Linked DNA regions of Rattus norvegicus. The protein of the gene in region 1 purifies or fractionates together with the protein of each later gene. This does not show direct contact. Links are inferred from orthologs where the notes say so. Each region holds a gene or a part of one and is shown in the gene's direction. Other genes may lie near its edges.

Evidence for each region. The genes of interacting proteins can lie anywhere in the genome.
Region 2: the proteins of Med4 (region 1) and Cdk8 purify together in Homo sapiens (affinity purification with mass spectrometry; 9 studies listed by BioGRID and IntAct, counting the BioPlex papers as one, with this or other methods). This does not show direct contact. The link is inferred for Rattus norvegicus from reciprocal best matches to the Homo sapiens genes MED4 and CDK8.
Region 3: the proteins of Med4 (region 1) and Ift20 purify together in Homo sapiens (affinity purification with mass spectrometry; 3 studies listed by BioGRID and IntAct, with this or other methods). This does not show direct contact. The link is inferred for Rattus norvegicus from reciprocal best matches to the Homo sapiens genes MED4 and IFT20.
Region 4: the proteins of Med4 (region 1) and Ccdc138 purify together in Homo sapiens (affinity purification with mass spectrometry; 3 studies listed by BioGRID and IntAct, with this or other methods). This does not show direct contact. The link is inferred for Rattus norvegicus from reciprocal best matches to the Homo sapiens genes MED4 and CCDC138.

The regions. Positions count from the first base shown.
Region 1 is NC_086033.1:55,112,144-55,117,072, forward strand, and holds the end of Med4 (mediator of RNA polymerase II transcription subunit 4), read left to right. Parts: coding exon 1-1; intron 2-1,253; coding exon 1,254-1,340; intron 1,341-2,850; coding exon 2,851-2,982; intron 2,983-3,540; coding exon 3,541-3,713; 3' UTR 3,714-4,211; downstream 4,212-4,929. UniProt on the Homo sapiens protein: Component of the Mediator complex, a coactivator involved in the regulated transcription of nearly all RNA polymerase II-dependent genes.
Region 2 is NC_086030.1:13,886,200-13,891,128, reverse strand, and holds part of Cdk8 (cyclin-dependent kinase 8), read left to right. Parts: intron 1-71; coding exon 72-147; intron 148-3,709; coding exon 3,710-3,820; intron 3,821-4,929.
Region 3 is NC_086028.1:63,933,045-63,937,465, forward strand, and holds the end of Ift20 (intraflagellar transport protein 20 homolog), read left to right. Parts: coding exon 1-37; intron 38-1,618; coding exon 1,619-1,704; intron 1,705-2,267; coding exon 2,268-2,371; coding exon of another isoform or gene 2,372-2,375; exon of another isoform or gene 2,376-2,734; coding exon 2,735-2,816; 3' UTR 2,817-3,128; downstream 3,129-4,421. Other genes in the region: Tmem97 (sigma intracellular receptor 2), read right to left, coding at 3,927-4,186. UniProt on the Homo sapiens protein: Part of intraflagellar transport (IFT) particles involved in ciliary process assembly. May play a role in the trafficking of ciliary membrane proteins from the Golgi complex to the cilium.
Region 4 is NC_086038.1:27,112,469-27,116,747, forward strand, and holds the end of Ccdc138 (coiled-coil domain-containing protein 138), read left to right. Parts: intron 1-397; exon of another isoform or gene 398-422; coding exon 423-561; intron 562-2,437; coding exon 2,438-2,603; 3' UTR 2,604-2,986; downstream 2,987-4,279.

The DNA.
Region 1 (4,929 bases):
GGTTGGTACCATGGGAAGGCTGCCTGACTGAGATACAAGCCTGTGTCTTAGGATGCTGATGAGGACTGGGGAGATGTGCAGTGGCTAAAAAGCTTGTTCATGTGATCTCTAGAACCCACATAGAGCTGTGTATGTGCCTACCCTCACATGCTTTCACATACACATGCACACATTCTCACCTGCATGCACATGAAAATAAAACATGAGTTGATAAAACTACTACGGTCAGGCTGTTGAAAGGGTGCCCAGGAGTTATCCACTGTAGCGTGTACTGTGTTTGTGTAGTTGGCATCCTGAAGAGGGTAGCCGTACCTCGCAGCCCTCCTGTAGTTCAGTATAGAATAATAGAAGGGATTCGTGCTTTTCATTCACATGTGTAGTGACGACAGTGGTTTACAGACTGGAAAGACAGAGGAGCAGGAGTGAGCTTGGATCTTGTAGGCAGAGATAATGACGGAATCCACACAACTACCTGAGAAGGGAACACTGGAGTCAGCATCAGCTGTACACGTGCCTGCCGCTCGGCCTTTAGGCCTTACACTTTCTAGTCAGGAGACCGAGAGTGAAGTCTCTGCTGTCGCTTTAATGCTCTGTGGATTTGGGTTACAGTTAACCATTTCTCTATCTGACTTGTTCTGCTTGCCGGTATGGAATCTGTTTCTCATTGTTATACCCAAGAAAACGGCTAATATTCTCAGAGAGACGGGTGGGCTTCTGTAGCAGAGGCAAGCCTGTAGGAGAGGTGGCTGAGTCCATCAATCAGGACTGGGTAGGAATCCATAGTGCTTTTTGAAACAGGTCTAGAGTTCATAGAGTACAAATCTTCCCATTCCTCAGAGGTAACTGCTGTTTCTGTTTGGTGCACAGTCCATGTAGAGCCTCTTCCTTTGTGGTCACAGAGGATGTGGACTGTTTGGTTAGCCGCTTGGATGTTGCTGGAACGAAAAGCTCTCCCCTTGGTTTACTGTTCCTCACTGTGACATTCAGAAGAGCTCTGCATTTGCCGTCGGCCAGTAATGGAGATTACTGAGCATTATCATGCTGGCCTTAGATTTATGGTAGCTGACCTCGCCGAGTGGGTGCCTTGGTTCTTTAGTTAGACATATATGTGTAACAGTTTTGGTGTACATGAAGGTGTTTGGGAGGATAGATGGCTGAGATGAGCCTGATAGTTAAGTGTGGTGTGTGACTGTGACGTGTGCTCTTCTAAGCTTGTGTTTAATGGTCTGTCCTGTTCTGTTTTCTCAACTCAGGCGCTATCTCCTCTGAAGAAATCATTAAGTACGCACACAGGATCAGTGCCAGCAATGCTGTATGTGCTCCACTGACTTGGGTTCCAGGTAACAGTGCTTCTTTTCAGATGAATGCAGGTTAAGCGTCCTGAGGTGCATCTGTAGCATTCTAAGTGCCTGTGTAGAACACAGAAGGATACTGTAACTAATTCCTGTTACATTGTTTTTACCAAGCAGTGATGGGAAGTGTTTTTTCCATTTTACTTTTAGTGCTAATAGGTCAATCTGGGACACTTTCAAAGCAATAGGTTCATATACTTGTAACACCCAGGCTGGCCAGAGCCAGTCCTTCAGTGCCATTATATTCCTGCAAAGCCTCAGCCTGAGAGGCAGTCACAGAACAAACACCCAGCGCAGTTCACCAGCCGGGAAGAGCGGGAGCATTAGGGACAGCAAAGATAATACAGTGCAGTCCCAGCACTGCAGATCAAGTAGGAGATGGGAAACCAGAGCTGGAGCAGCGGCCTCCGTGGAGGATGGAGAGAGCCAACTGGGCTCTGCTCACTCCTGACCGGTGTTTGTTGTTGCTGAACACAATGACGGTGGCTGCAGTCTGAGGATGGGTAATTCCTGGTGAGAAATATTACCAAATTTGGGTGTGGGTGCCATCCCAAACTGCTATTCAGTGTCCCTCTTTGATGGGAATGACAGTAGGTTCTTGTGATAAAACTGGAGAGGTGTAGAAACTAGTCTGTGTATGTTTCTTTGTGACAGGTTTATGTCTCCTAGTCTGGTTCTATCTTATGTATTTGAAGGTGACCTTGAGCTGTCCCACCTCCACCTTGAGTTGCCTCTGTGCAGTCCTATTTCTACTTCCAAATGCTGGGCTACGGGTGTGATTATAGGCGATGTGCCCACCACCCCTACTTTTTTTACCACCCCCATGTTTTTTACAAAACATAGAATGTATATTCCTGGGAGGATTCAGAGAAGAAACAAAAATGTGTGCATTTTGAAAATTAATATTGGGAGCTAGAGAGATGGCTCAGTCATAAAGAGCACTAGCTGCTCTTGCAGAGAACCTGGTTCAATCCCAAGTTCACACATGGCAGTTCACTTGTCTGTAACTCCAGTTCCCCCGGACTTCTGACACCCTCACACAGACATGCATGAGGCAAAACACCAATGCACATAAAAGAAAAATAAATGATTTTAAAAAATTAATATAATATAGTCTCTTTCTCCTCCAGCCCCCTTTCTTTTATTCATTGAGAGACAGTTTCTCTGTGTAGCCCTCCCCGTCCTGGAACTCACTTTGTAGACCAGGTCAAGTCAGAGTCCTGCCTCGCTCTGCCTCCTGAGACCTGGGACTAAAGTTGTGTGCCGCCGTACCCAGCTTGAGAATAGTAATGGTAACCTCAGGCAAGGTGTGGTAGCACATAGCGTAGGCAGCTGTGAAGAGGCCGGGGCAGGCCTGCAGCCTTGAGGCTAGCATGACTACCTGCTGAGACCTGTCTTACAAGCGCTCCGGTCCTTTAGTGTGAACAAGGACAGCTAATTCTTCAAGAATATATACATGATTTTAAACCTGAGTTAAAAGCTGTCTTTATTGTTTTAGGAGACCCTCGACGGCCATACCCAACTGATTTAGAGATGAGAAGTGGATTGCTGGGTCAGATGAACAATCCTTCTACCAGTGGTGTGAATGGTCACCTCCCGGGAGATGCCCTTGCAGCAGGTAGACTGCCAGGTAATGCTAACTGGATAGGCGTTTTCAAGCGACAGGGTTATTCAGAGGTGGCCGTGAGGCAGTGTCTAGCATTGGGCACCAATATTGTTACATAGATTCCCTACCAGTTTATTGTTCTGTGCTTCATCCAAAGACCCAGCAGTGGTGCATAGGTCACTGACCTAAGCCACTCTGTCCCTCACGTGCATCTATCTCCTATCACCCTCCCCAGGCCTGGCCTTCCCTTATCGTGACCACTCTGAAGAGCATTTTTGCAGTTCTGAGGCATGCTCACAAATAGAATAAGCTCATTTTGTAGGTGCCATGTTTAATGTGAGAGAATCTTTCTAAGGAGAGGACATAAGTGGGGGACTGTGCTTTCTGAAGCTATCACTTCTGTGTTAACATGTGGGTTTGGGAATCTGCTCATTTGTGTTTAGTATTGCGAATCCTTCTTGTTAGATCTTGGTACTGTAAGGTAAGTGGGTAGGTAGATAAGATTAAGATTCTTGCATAGAGGGCGGGGATCGAGTAGATGGATCACAAGTAGAACCAATCCCTTATGCTTCTTCTCCTCAGATGTCCTTGCTCCACAGTACCCATGGCAGTCAAATGACATGTCTGTGAACATGCTGCCGCCAAATCATAGCACTGACTTTCTGTTGGAGCCTCCCGGGCACAACAAAGAAAATGAAGATGACGTTGAGGTTATGTCAACAGATTCCTCAAGCAGCAGCAGTGACTCTGACTGAGAAAGGGGTGGCATGCAGACTCCACTGCCACAGAGTTCTGTCAAGTGGGAAATGGAAAGCACAGACCTCTAAGGAGCCCAGGAAAGTCAGTGGTCTTTCTTCCTGTAGCCAGAACTGCTGGTTCTCATCTGTTACACACGTGTTTGAGGGTTTGTCACAATTACTGTTGTGCTTGGTTTGTACATAGCAGCTATGGGATGAGACTGAAGGAGAACTGCACAACTCATGGAGAGTACTTACCAAGGGCACTGAGCCAGGCTCCTGCCTTAGTCCCAGCGCCTGGGAGGCTGAAGGATTGCTGGGAGTGTCGGGCCGCCTTGAGCTATGTAATAAACTGAGCCATCAGGGTAGCAGAACAAGAACAGAGGCATGGAGCTCTGTGATATTTCAAAAAGTGCTCACTTGAAAGTGAAGTTGTCTGCTGTTACAGTGACAACTGTCAATATTTATATGTGGTAAATACTGTAATTTGTGTAAATAAACTTGGTTTTGTTTGTATTTAATTATTTCAATTTTTAAAAAATAGATATTTTAAATTTAGGTACACCTTCAGGGTAGGAATGAAACATTTAAATCCAGTTGAATTTAAGCTGGGCAGTGGTGGCACATGTCTTTAATCCAGCACTCAGGAGACAGAGGCAGGCAGATCTGAGTTTGGGGCCAACTTTGTCTACAGAGTGAGAAGAGTTTCAGGAGTACAGAGAAACCCTGTCTAGAAAAAAAAATCCAGATTATTTTATAATGTTCAAATAAGATTCTGGTATATATGAGAACATATACCATAAAATGACTATCTTAACTGGTATTCACAATTAAGTTTCTGAGATCATTAATAATTGAAAACATTTATTATATTCCCATACCACACAGACACACATGAACATCAGGTAAATTTTATGGAAGGCTTTAGAAGGCCACCATCTCATGCCATCACCTTGTCTCCTTGTGACTTTTTTCTTTTTACGGGACTGTGTCTCCTTGTTTATATAAGGTGCCTAGGCTAGTCTGGGACTTGCAGTCACCCGCCTTTACCTCTTACTGTAGTTTCTTAAAACAGTTACTTTTAACTTTTTAGCTACCAAGTAGTTAACATCTGTGCCTAAGATGTTCATATAATTATCAGTTTTAGATAAATATTACTGCAAACATAGTAATTATTACAACATTTAAGAAACAGTGTAACATAAAAGTGAACTTGGCCCTCTATTGAGTACCA
Region 2 (4,929 bases), on another chromosome or scaffold:
TATATAGTGCTTTGTTAAAGTGCATGCAAACACAGAGTAACCTGTGTATTCAAATAACTTTTTTTTTACAGGAAGGACGATAAAGACTACGCTTTAAAACAAATAGAAGGAACTGGAATTTCTATGTCGGCATGCAGAGAGATAGCAGTAAGTGAAGCTCTTGTTACCACATCAGCTGATGTAGGAGTGTCAACTGTGTAGGTCTCTGCTGTATTTGCCATCAAATGAATTGAAAACCGATAAATATTTTTTCGTTTTAGGTATTTCCAGAAAGTGCATTTTTAGAAAAAGGAGACTTGAAGTTCTTGCAGAGTATACATTTATTTATTTGTGCTATCACTGATTCTTAGAGTTCCTGTTGTCATTTCATTCTGGTTAATGAATATCAGTTATTATATAAAGTTAACAGTTCTGTATGGCTGGAATTAGTGTCTTTATGTATGCCAGTTAAAAACTGAGATTCTGCTTGATTATCACCGTGTTTGTTCATTTTTCTTTCCTGTCTGTTGCTGTTGATTCATGAGCGTTTGTTTCCTCCACTCCTCTTACCTCTTTTCTTCTATTTTGGGCTTGTGCTTCTCCATTTTGCTAAGTGGTTTATTGGCTTGTAAACTCTTCTTTCCTACTATAAATATTTAAAATTATAATTCCCTCCAACCTGTGTTTTACTTTCATGCCACACGTTTTGTGATGTTTTATTGTTTTATTATAGTACAGAATATTTTCAGTTTTCTTTTTTTCTTTCTTTGTATCCATTAGTTACTTAGAAATCAGTTGCTTACTTTATAAATGTACAAGGAGGCTTTTCTGGATACGTTATCATTGCTGGTTGTTATTGATTTTCATTGTGTTGAGAAAAGATTGCTTTTGAGGTACGTACCGAGATGCTGATGAAATGGTATATATACTATCTGGTGGAGAGAGGAATGAACTTGAATGTACATACAGTGACTGTAAGTGACAGGCTTAACTCAGGGAGACCGTGTAATAAAAGGCAAGGGAGGAAACCAAGTCCATCTTTGTTTGCCCTGACACCTCCTCTTACTAACATGCTCACACTCATTCAGTTTTTTCATATCTATTACAAATAAAAATCTTAGGATTCCCGTTGTTCGTTGTGATCTGTTGCCACCCCTATGCAGGCTAGACTGTGACACACAGCAGCATGGCTTAGATTTTGTGCAGCCATTCTTCAGGAAGGAGGAGAGAACCTTCCAGGGGAGGTGTCCTCACAACACTTCCATTTTGCTGTTTGTCACATTCCTCACCAAAGTTTCCTGTGGACTGGAATCCCTTTAGTTCAGGGTTCTGGCCAACTGTGCAGAAATCAGCTGGCCCCCAGTATCCCAGAGAGTGTCTGATAGATGGTGCAGGCCCATGGTTAGTCTGCTTTCCCAACACACTTCTCCAACCTCAGCATCTGTTTCCATCTTTTTCTAAGAGTTTGGGAAGATCGAAGTTAAAGAAAGAGTCTACAGTGTAATTGTCTTTTGGAAATAGATTTGTCATAATTCAGGTTCGGTTTATCTATCACCGTACTCGAGGTCTACATTCAGAACCTGTTTTTGCATTAGGAGTTGTTAATGTTGGAATGGTGTCAGAGGTGGAGACGGTAGTTGGTAACATACTTGCCTCCCGGTCACTGAGACCTGTCGAGCTCTCGGGATTCAAGTAGAAATGACTGCCAGTGCTGTGGCGGGGCAGGCTTGTCATCCCAGTGCTCAGGGAGTAAGACAGGAGGCTCCCTGTGTCCTCCCGCTGTCCAGCCTTGCACTGGTGAGCTTCTAGCCCATGAGAGACCTTGTCTCAGAAGGAGGTGAGGTGGGTAGCAGACCTGAGGATGACCCCAGAGGTTGTCTTCTGGCCTGCACACACACATGCACTCCACATGTACTCCACAAACTTAGAACTCTTTAAGAAACACTGCTGTTTTGAAAATATAACTAGTTTTCCTACCTACTTTTTCCTCATTTCTGAGTGGCATATATTGTCGTGGTGTGCTTTTAAATATTTTTTGTACAAGTTTAAGTTAAGTATGCCCATTGTGGTAAATCAGGTTCACAGTGAATAATAAATTTGAAGTAGATATATATTCAAAACATTTAAAAATTTTCCCCCACTGGTAAAATTGGAAAAGCAAGTGGTTTCTGTGAATAAAGTTGGTATGGCTATACCTTTTGTTTTGTGAAGATTAACCAGTTCTTTAAAAAATGAAAAAAAAATTCTATTAAAGGCCAGTTTAGTTCCCGGGACCCACCTGTCTCCACTGACCGCTCCTCAGTACACATGTGCGCTGTCGTGTCGGTCTTCCTTTTTTTTTTTTTCCCCCGGAGCTGGGGACCGAACCCAGGGCCTTACGCTTGCTAGGCAAGCGCTCTACCACTGAGCTAAATCCCCAACCCCGTGTCGGTGCATTTTGATGGCTTTATCAGAGTACAGTACAGTGAGGAGTGTCTCCATATAATGGGATGAATGCTCTTACCTATAAAAAAGGAAAAATCAAAACCAAAACCCCTGCTACATGCTACAACATGGGTGGACCTTGAAGATAGCACTGAGTGAATGAACTAGATGTGAAAGGATGAGTGATGCTGGGTGGATAAACAGCTTTCAAGGTCCTGTTTGACCCCTAGAACCTACAGAAAAGCTAGGCATGGCTGTACCTGCTGGCGCTTACAATCCCAGTTCAGAGGAGGAGGTAGGAGCACAGATTCCTGGGGCAACAGCCAGCCCGGCCTCAGTGGTAAATTTCAGGCCACTGAGAGCTCCTGTCTCAGGGAGGGAGGGAGGGAGGGAGAGGTGGGCTGGGGAGACGGCTCAGTGGTAAAGCCCTCGCCGCTCTTCTAGAGGACCTGAGTTTGATCACCAGAACCCACATCCGGTGATTTATTTCTCTAGCTCCACAAGTAGCAGATACACATGCACACATAAAATCAACCAGTCACATGGGCACCGCAGGAGTGAGCCAGAGCTCTCCTTCCTCCCACTGGGGGTTACAGGTCCGTGCCTGCGCACATGAGGAAGATGAGGTGTTATGAGAACCCACCATGGCTAGGTGTCTACCACAGGAACTCTTAGGGACAGGTAGTAGAGTTTACCTAGACCTGGATCAGTGGTAGCATTTTCTACTTGGAATGTTTAAAAATGTGTAAATAGTAGTGATGGTTCTACAACACTTATATTTAATGCCACCCATTTGTAGATTTTAAAGTGGCTAAAACTGTAATCTTGGTTAAAAAGTTAAAACCAAGTCAAGCAGCAAATGACAGATTTACTGTTACCCTCTTTTCAGTGTCTTCTTCTGTCATGAAGCACCTGTGTAGCAGTCATACTGAGTGGGTGCTGATTGAATGCTTAGTATCAGTGAGCATTGACTTGCATTGCTTTTACGTTGCAGCTGGTCTGGGTGGGTGGGTGGCTGGGTAGTGTCTGGGATGGAGCCCGGCTTTGTTGCCCAAGCTAACTGTGGATTCCTGATATCAAGTAATCTTTCTGCTTGAGCATTCATAATCTGAGACCTTTGTTCACTTCCTAGCAGCCAGGTAGAAATGGCTGCCACGGCGGTAGCAGACATATTATATCCTTGTGTACATGTATGCACTACCACACCTAATTTGTGTGTGTGTGTGTGTGTGTGTGTGTGTGTGTGTGTGTGTGTGTGTAGTATTATTTTGTGTTAAATTTTGAATGGATCTCCTTTGTTTTGTAGTTACTTCGAGAGCTTAAGCACCCAAACGTCATCTCTCTTCAGAAGGTGTTTCTGTCTCATGCTGATCGGAAAGTATGGCTTCTCTTTGACTATGCTGAACATGACCTCTGGGTAAGGTGGACTGCTGGTAGACAGGCCATTGTTTTCAGTTAGGCTTGAGAGTGACTAAACAGCTTCCACTGCACTAGAAATCACTTTACAGAGTAACAGTCGATGTATTCCCAGCCTGGAGGCTTTTGCTTTGTTCAGTGGGTTGAGCTCCCTTACCACAATGCTAGACAGCAGAAGTGTCTCAGAGTTTTGATGTTTCAGATAAGAGGGCACTTACTTGCACCTATTTAATAAGACCTCTTGGAGACTGACATCATGTCTAAACTTGAAGCTCACTTGTGTTTTAATTTCATATTTACCTTATACATATAGCCTGAAGGAAATTTCATGCATCGTTTATAATAATCTTGTATGTGAAACAAAGTTTCACTCTGTGGAATCATGTTAGCTTTCAAAAAGTTCTGAAATTTGAAGCATTTTGGGTTTTCAGGCTAGAGAGAGTCTCCAGTATTTCTTTTGATCCTGGTGTTTTGACCTTTGTAACCGATGGGAAAGAAGTAAGAGGACTATGAACAGTGGCGGGAAAGCATTGCTTCCTGATAGAGTTTTCATTTGGAAAGGCGACCTTACATCCTTTCCTTTACTCTGTAGTGTTAAGGAATTTAAAATGAAATAGTACTTCTGGGTGAGCGTGCTATAAAAGCATAGCCGGGTCCAATTACTGTCCCTGCCTTGTTCTGTGATGCAGGAAGGTCTCCTAACAGTTCTGAAGGGGTTACGAGTTGAGTAGCTAAGCATGGGAAGCTTATTGATCACTCCCTGGTTATTCACACCTGATATTTAATGTAATACATCCCATCTTCATTGGCAATGATGTCTTACTGTCTGACTTGCCATCCTTTTGCATAGGAAAAGACAGTCACTGCAATGAGAGCCACACTACAAAGTGAGATCAGCACAGAAGTAGATGGCAGTGTCTCTTGTGGGCTTGGTTTTAGGCTTGTCTGGCTTACAACATTTATACAGACAGATCCAAATGGTATATTCGAAGATTTCTCCAAGGAGGACTCACAGTTTACTGGTTTAGCCAGTATTGTGAAAGGCTCATACTGTATTGATAAGAACGTAAATGCATTTTGCCTTACACAGACAAAGTAAAACCATCTGCC
Region 3 (4,421 bases), on another chromosome or scaffold:
ACAGAGCTCAAGGAAGAGTGCAAGGACTTTGTGGACAGTGAGTATCATTTGGAGCCACGGTGTCATTCTGCTTTGAGCAGTTTCTTTTTCTTTTTTTTTTTTTTTTTAAAGATTTATTTATTATATATAAGTACACTGTAGCTGTCTTCGGACACACCAGAAGAGGGCACCAGATCTCATTTCAGATGGTTGTGAGCCACCATGTGGTTGCTGGGATTTGAACTCAGGACCTCTGGAAGAGCAGTCAGTGCTCTTAACCACTGAGCCATCTCTCCAGCCCTTGAGCAGTTTCATTATCTGACCTTGACTATTGCTCTTGGGTCTGCCAGAACGAAGTTGATTGCTCCCTGAATTGAGCCTGGTCTCTGGATTCCCAAGTGTACCCAACCTTCTCTGCTTGCCCTCTTAGACTGCCATGGAGTCCCACATTTGATGCCAAGCAACTGTTTTAGACAGGGGTTGGGGGTATGTGTTTTTAGATGTGCTGTGATTTTTTTTCTTTCTTTTAGCAACCTTAAAATTCATGTTCAAGGGGCTGGAGAGATGGCTCAGTGGTTAAGCACTAACTGCTCTTTCAGAGGTCCTGAGTTCAATTCCCAGCAACCACATGGTGGCTCATAACCATCTATAATGGGATCTGATGCCCTTTTCTGGTGTGTGTGAAGACAGAGACCATGTACTCACATATATAAAATAAATATATCTTTTAAAAAATTCATGTTAGGGGGTTGGGGATTTAGCTCAGTGGTAGAGCGCTTGCCTAGGAAGCGCAAGGCCCTGGGTTCGGTTCCCAGCTCTGAAAAAAAGAACCAAAAAAAAAAAATTCATGTTAATGAATTATGACTTGGAGGTGGGAGGTGAAATTATATATACTGTGATGTTATTTTTATGTGAGTTAGAGATGGGGACTGAAGTCCTATAGGAGCAGCTCAGCACAGTGCTGATCTCTGGGTTACTGATCTCCAAGAAGCCACCTTTCCTAGCTGCTAAGCCAGCCCAGTACCAGTGGGAATAGCCAGATTTAGCTACAGTAAGGGAATTTCTTTCCTTTTTTCAAGACAAAGCCTCACTATGTATGTTGTAGGTTGGGCTCAAACTCATGATTCTCCTAACTTAGCCTTCCTAATGCTGGGGTTCCAGGTCAGTGTCATATACTCAGCTGAAGTAAGAGATTTCTGGGCCATGTTTTCACCACAGGTTGCTTAATGTCTGTTCCCAGTTTAGTAGTTGCTGCATACTGTGGCCTTCTCTGGACTTATTTGCATAAAATAAAACAGGTCTAGCATGCCAAGAGCATTGGAAAAGCAAGTGGGAAATGGGGCAACTAAATGACATGGTTACAGGCAGGAACTCTCACACCACCTTTTACTGAAACTTGGTGTTGAGTCTAGAGTCTGCACTTGTGTTCCGAGAGTCCTTTCTGAGAAAGGGAGGGTTGGGTCCACACTGCAGCCTATGTTCAAAGTCTAGCCCTAGCACCCATCCTGCCATAGACCGGGTGGTGGGAGACTTAGGCTAGTGGGTGTCAGACGGCTGGGACACGATTTAGAAGGGCAGTTAGCTCCACCTCCCTACTTCCAAGGGTGCTAACAAGAGTGGTTTGTTCTTTTCCTCAAAGAAATTGGCCAGTTTCAGAAAATCGTTGGTGGTCTGATTGAGCTTGTTGATCAGCTTGCCAAAGAAGCAGAGAACGAGAAAATGAAGGTGAGATCAGCAGTTGGCCCTGACCAGAAACCCTGCGCATTGTAGGGTCGGTGGACTCATCTAGTTAAAACAGGCATTTAATAAGAGATGCTGGCCAGGTCGGTGTGGTGAGCTTATACGCCAGTATTTTTTAAAGACTTTCAGTGTGAATGTTTGTGTGTGCACATACCTGTGTGCATCAGCATCTAGAGGCCAGGTGTTAGATCCTCTGAAACTAGAATTAGAAATTGTGAGCTGCCATGTGAGTGTTGGGAATTGAACCGAGGTCCTCTGGAAGTACAGATACTGCTTTTAATGAGTGAGCCCTCTCTCCAGCCCACCAGTACATGCTTGTCATTGCTCCCTTTGATCGTCATGGTACCACTTCTTTTAAAAATGAAGACGCGGAGGATTACCTGGGAGAGATGCCTTGGTAAAAGGCCCAAGACTAAATGATGCCTCCCAGTAGGCCACTGCATACACTTACAGACCTGACTACTTGTGCCATTTAGTACCAGGTATGTTGGGATCAGTAGGTTAATAGGTGAGTTTAAAACCATGCCTTCTTCGGTAATGTTTCTTAGGCCATTGGTGCTCGAAACTTGCTGAAATCCATAGCGAAGCAGAGAGAAGCCCAGCAACAGCAACTGCAGGCACTGATAGCAGAAAAGAAGATGCAGCTAGAAAGGTAAGCGGCCATGATCACCTCAGACTCTTTTTCCTTCTCTGCCACCTTGGCTTTCCTCACCATCTTTCTGTGTAGAGCATTTCACTGGGTGTTAAGACTTTAAAATTTGATAGTGTGGGGACTTGGTTAATTCCAAATGGCCTCCCGTAGTGTGAGCACTGGTTCTTAGAACTAGGCCTGAGGCCACCTCCCATGCCTTCCCCTAGGGCTAGAGGTTTTGCAGGTGGTCTTAAATAGGGCTGTTTGACTCTTGCCCTGCCTTCATTCTCAACTCATGGTTTCTTACAGCTGTTTAAAGCTCTATACTCTCAAAAAATTGTGTTTTTCATTCTTTTCAGGGCTTCTAACAATTTTGTTTTTCAGGTATCGGGTTGAATATGAAGCTTTGTGTAAAGTAGAAGCAGAACAAAATGAATTTATTGACCAATTTATTTTTCAGAAATGAACTGAAAATTTCAGTTTTATAGCAGGAAGGCAAAAAAAAAAAAAAAAAAAAAAAAAGAAAAGAAAAAAAAGAAAGAAAAAAAGCACCTCAACCAAAAAACAAAGACCAAACCTCTACCATTCCAGTGATTTGATGTATGTCACGGCAGTGCTCCAGGGGCAGCTGGTAAACTGTGCAGCCACTGCTAGTGGCCAAGCAGCACAGGGCCTTACTCTTCTCAGCACAAACTAAGTGTCTGTAAATGCTGATCCACTTTTTTGGGAGAGGTAGTTAAATTCACAAGGAAAAGCAATAAATACCAAATAAATACTTTCTTCTGTGGTGCTGTGTGCATGTATTTCCAGCCCCTCTGAGCTGTTCTACAACTTCCCCCACCCCACTCCACCCCCAATCCACACAACAAACCAGGCAGTGATCAGCAGCTACCTTTATTTGGACTGGACACACAAGTCAGACAGTAATAACCACAGCAATATGGCTTGTGAGCAAAACCAGCACTGCCTCGCACCCGCTGCTCTTTGTTTCTGTAAGGAGAGCCAGTGGAACAAACAGCGACACTCACTGGACAGTCAGTTACCCTCACACATGGGAAGGACAAATGGATGTACTGTGGAGCCCAGTGGTGCAAGATGCCAGAGTAGGGACAGACGTGTGGAAGAGCGGTTCATGGAGTTAGCGCCAGAATAACTCAGAGACCAGGTGATCTGTTCAAGATAGAAATGGAGGTGCCTTCCTTCCACTGTGACCCATTTCTGGCTTGGACTCATGTGGGCCGGAGACCATGTTAAAGGTGCTAAAGAGACAAGACACTGCTCCCATTTGTTGGCTATCAAGGTCCAGTTGAGGACTTAGGTGTGTGCACTCTAGGTCAGAAGCTATCCGGCTTCTCAGCTGTCGGTTCTTAGCAGTGCTGTAGTAGAGCTTTGGCACCATTTTGCTGTCACTTGGTGGCCTATTTAGCCCTTGGAAGGTGAAGGCTTGGCATGGCCCTTGCCACTATCTTGTTCGTATGCACTGCTGTTGGTGTTTCAAATGCTGCAGCAACTTGTGTTGTTCAAAAGGCAACTGTGCTGTGGGATCTTCCTTTCCTACCAGGCTAGTGGCTGTCCCTTATTTTTTCTTTCTTTTCTCCTCAAACTTGTAGTAAGGGTTCCGAAGCATGAACAGGAGGAGTATAAGGGGGATTATTAAATAGGGGGCATAGACACCTACGAGGGTCAGTCGTTCACGGAAATTCTCAGGTCTTTGTCCCTTGAAAGCAATGGCTTTAGAGAAATCCTCAAAGAGAATCGTATAGAGGATTGGAATTAAAGTTGTTATGGTGTGAACCGCATAGATGATTGCAGGGATTCGGATCCATCGGCAGCTTCCTGAAGCAGAGGAAGAGAACAGGGTAATTAGGCTGAGAGGTGTGGCGACTTCAAGGGTGTCTGGGATATGCTCTGCCTCATCATCCCTGCTTGTCTGCTCCTCTCAGTTCAATGGTTCTGCCTCCTTTGTGGAAACTCAGACTATGCACATGAAAACCAGGTGCTGCACTGCTCAACAGGTAAGCTTGCATGACAGCTAGGACCCACCCAGTTCAGAGAGGGTAAGGGTTGGCAT
Region 4 (4,279 bases), on another chromosome or scaffold:
CATCCTAGGGAGTCTCACAGGAAACTCTTGATCCTCAAGTTTCTGCCTGCTCTTGGGCTCAGAATGTCCTTTCCTATCTCATACAGAGTTGTTACGGGTTTAAAGAAAACTACTTTACTACATCAACAGAATGGCTTATTTGCAGTCACCTGGACTGGGCTTCCAGTTAGAAGTTTGTTGAAGAAACATGTTCTCCTTTCCTTTCAAGCACGCTTTGTATTAGATAATAACCTGCTCCGTGTGACGCCCAACGAGAGTTTGTTTTTGCTTTTCAAATGATAATTTTGTCCCAAAGTTTAAGGATGAAAGCATGACAGTCCAAGGCAGTGTTGATGCATGACTCACATGAGTCTGATTTTGCTTTTATAATTTCCTTTTTGTATTCCTTTTCACACAGTAAAGCATGGTGACTTGTTTTGCAGAGTCCCTGCAGCCTTTCCTGGAAGCCTGTAGCAACTCTCTGTTTTTTCGTACTTGTTCTGTGCTGCTGCGAACCCCTAAACTTGATCTTCACATCCTAGAAAAGCTCAGCATTATCCTACAGAAGCTTTCCAAAATCAAGTAAGGAAGTCATTTTTGTAACATTCTTAATTGATAATTATATTGTGATCATTATTGGGGTTGCTTTTTCAGTCTCAATCTCAAGCCGGTTTTACTTATTACTTCATTCTAATGTGATCATGATTTCCAGTCTATAGATGTAAAAATTTAAGAATCAAAGACCACATATTTGGGGCTGGGCAGAGGCTCAGCAGGTAAGAGTAGGTACTTTATAAGCCCAAGAACCTGAGTTTAAACCCCAGGACTCACATAAAAGACTAAGTGTGGCTATGTGTACCTTTGAGCCCAGCACTGTGAGATAGATAGATAGGAGATAGAGACAGGAGGATCAGCAGGCCTTGGTGTGCAACAGCATAACTCCAGGTTCAGTGAGAGACCTTGTTCCAAGGGAACAAGTCAGAAAGTGGTAGATAGTAGTACACCAGACATCCTCCCTTGTCCTTTATGCATACACTCACCTGCACATGCCTGTACCAAACAACACACACACACACACACACACACACACACACACACACACACACACACACACACACTTTAGAGACACAGATTTAATAATGGACATTAGTCTTTGAATATATATTGTTGTTCCTCAGTTGATTCAGTTCATGAACTTTAAATATCAGACAGCATGCAAAACCAAGAAAACGGCTTTCTTAAGGTTGAGAGGGAGATTATTTGTATATTGGGGGTTGCTTTTTGTTTTTATGGTACTAGGAACCCAGGACTAACTGCATGGCTCTTCTAATAAGAACAAGGTTATTAATCAAGTGATAACATCAGAACAAATCACTGTATACTGATATTTTATATGAGTCAAATGAGAAAATCAAAGTGATAGTAAACGTGCATTGGTGCCTGTCTGTGTGTCTGAATGTGTGTGTGTGTGTGTGTGTGTGTGTGTGTGTGTGTGTGTATGTCTCTGTGTATCTGTGTCTGTGTATGTCTCTGAGTGTATGTCTCAGTGTCTGTGTGTTTGTATATCTGTGTGTGTATATCTGTGTGTCTGTTGTGTCTCTGTCTCTCTGTCTGTCTCTCTGTATGCGTGTATGTGGAAACTCAAGGTTGAGGAAGTGTCTTCCTCTTCTTTTTTGAGACCAGGTCTCTCTCTGAGCCTGGAGCTTGCTGATTGGCTAGGCTACATGACCAATGAGTCTGGGAAACCACCCGTCTCTACCTTCGTTAATGTGGAGCTATTTGATAATTTCTCTCTGAGATACATTCAGATAAGAAAATAAAATATGGTGGAGTTCTGTTTTACATTTAGGATAGTATTCTAATTAAAATGAAATTACTGAATGCCTTCTCTTTTTCTTCTTTCTTTTTCTGCTCCTCTTTTCTTCCTCTTCCTTTTCCTCCTCTTCTTTCTTTGTTCCTCCTTCTCCTATTCTGTTGTTTTGTAAGACAAAGTCTGTCTATGTACCCCTGACTACCCTAGAACTTGCTGTGTAGACCAGGCTGTCCTGGAACTCAATCTGCCTACCTCTGCCTCAGAGTGCTGGGATTAAAGGCGCTCAGAATGACACCAAGCTTGAATGTCTGTCAGAGAGAAAATGAAAAATAGTATATTTGCCATTTTAGATCCTTAAGGTAACTGTCAGTCTCTGTCTAACTGTGGGAAGCAGGGGTTCCTTGTTCCTAGCAGTTTTATTCTGTTAGTGAATTTGGATCAGTTTTTAGGATATAAACTATTTTCTTTTTTTGCCTTTAATGTTTTTCCACTCTGGGCTTAGCTCATAAAACCTAGTTTTCTTAGCTTCTTAATCCTGTAGTCAGCCATTTTCTCCGTTGTTTTAAAAAGCAAGTGCTATTTCCTCACATTTGCATAATTCTCTCAAGTTTATAAGTAATAAGTAATATGCCCATTCTTTTACAGGAGTAACAAGAAACTCTTTGAAGTTTTCACCATTCACCTAATGCTTCAGGAAATACAAAGGACAACACATCCAGAGCACGCCTTTCTCTGTATTAACCTCAATTCAACTCTGTTCAATCTGGGTTTGACAAAATGTAACTCCCTGGTCTCCAGTATAGGCCATTAGAGTGTGTGTGTGTGTGTGTGTGTGTGTGTGTGTGTGTGTGTGTGTGTGTGTGTTCTTTATTTGTAAAAGTGGAAAAATCACCAAAGTACAATTCCACAGAGTAAAATTATCACCAGCATCATTTATCATGAAAGATACCTAGAAAGATTTTTCAGCTTTGTAAAGGAGACCCAAAAGGTATGGATGTTTTAAATGTTTCAGTTGAAGGTAATACTAATGTACAAGGTGGCTTTTTCAGAATTCAAGGCATCAGGGTCAGCATGCAAGGCAACAGGGTTATATTTTATAAAAAAATTTAGGAAAAGTCTTTCTTGAAATTATGTGAATATTTGGAATATAATTTGTCCTTATGTGGAAATAAACTGTTATCATTTTTCCCTTAATATAGTAGAATCCCTTCTCTTGATAATATATTTTCTTAAAGATAGGGTTTTACGTAGCACTGGGTGTCCTGGGACAGACTGGGTGTGTCAATCACGCCTCCTACCTCTGCCCCCAAGTGCTGGAACCAACATGCCTGCCACCACACCATTTAAGTACTTACCTTGTATTTGTTCATTCTTTTTTTCTTTTACCTTTATTTGCATTGTGGTTGTTAGGCAGGTACTATGCTAAGCTATAACTCGAGCCCAAGAGTATATGTGGTTTATACAACATTGTTTTATGACACTGGATGCATACTTTATGAAATTGGGTTAAACTAGGAACATGATGTGTGTTCTCCATTCTTGTTCAGTACAGTACTAGAAGTCTCAGCCAGGTCATTAGGATAAGCTATAAGTAAAAAGAATACAAATAAGAAAAGAAGACAATAAAGTTTCCTAATTTATAGATTCTATGATTTTATGTAGAAGAGAACCTAAAGATTCCATCAGAAAACTCTTAGACTGATAAACACTTTCAGCAAAGTGGCAGGATACAAAATCAGCACACAAAAGCCATGGCTGTACTGAATGCCAATAACATTCTGAGGAAGAAATCAGGAATAGAATCTCACAATTGTCATGAAAAATATACACCTAACCAAGGAAATGAAAGACTATACTGAAGGAAAAAAATGGAGGAAGGCACAACAGAATGGAAAGACCTCCTCATGGATTAGAACGTTCATTGTTGTGACGATGACTGTCTTACTAGAGGCAATCTACAGATTCAATGTAATCCTCACCAAAATTCCAATGCCACTAATTATTGAATCATCATTATCAGTTATCATCATCGTCATCGTCTTAGAATTCTCCTGGAAGCTAAAAGTCCTCAGTCTAATCTGTCTGGGCGTAGAGCCTTTCCTCACCTCCTCTGTACGGCTCCCTGAGTTTTTCCCAGCGGTGTAGTTGTCCATGTGGTGGACTCCGTCACTGGTCCTCCACACGCTGGCCAGTGTGTGTTCCTGCATTAACTGCCTCCTATTGCAGTAAGAAGCATCTCTGATGAGGTCTGAGTGTAGCCTTATTTTCAAACGGCAGACTGGGAATTGAGGATAATGATGTGGTATAAACGGCAGACTGGGAATTGAGAATAATGATGTGGTATAAACTCTGTCCCCCAACAATTAGCTTAAAATTGTGATTAACTCAAAACCTTAAAATTAAGTAATGCTTATTTATAAAAGTATCTGAATCGGTGGGGCTGGAGAGATGGCTCTGTGGTTAAGAGCACACTGGTTACTCTTCCAG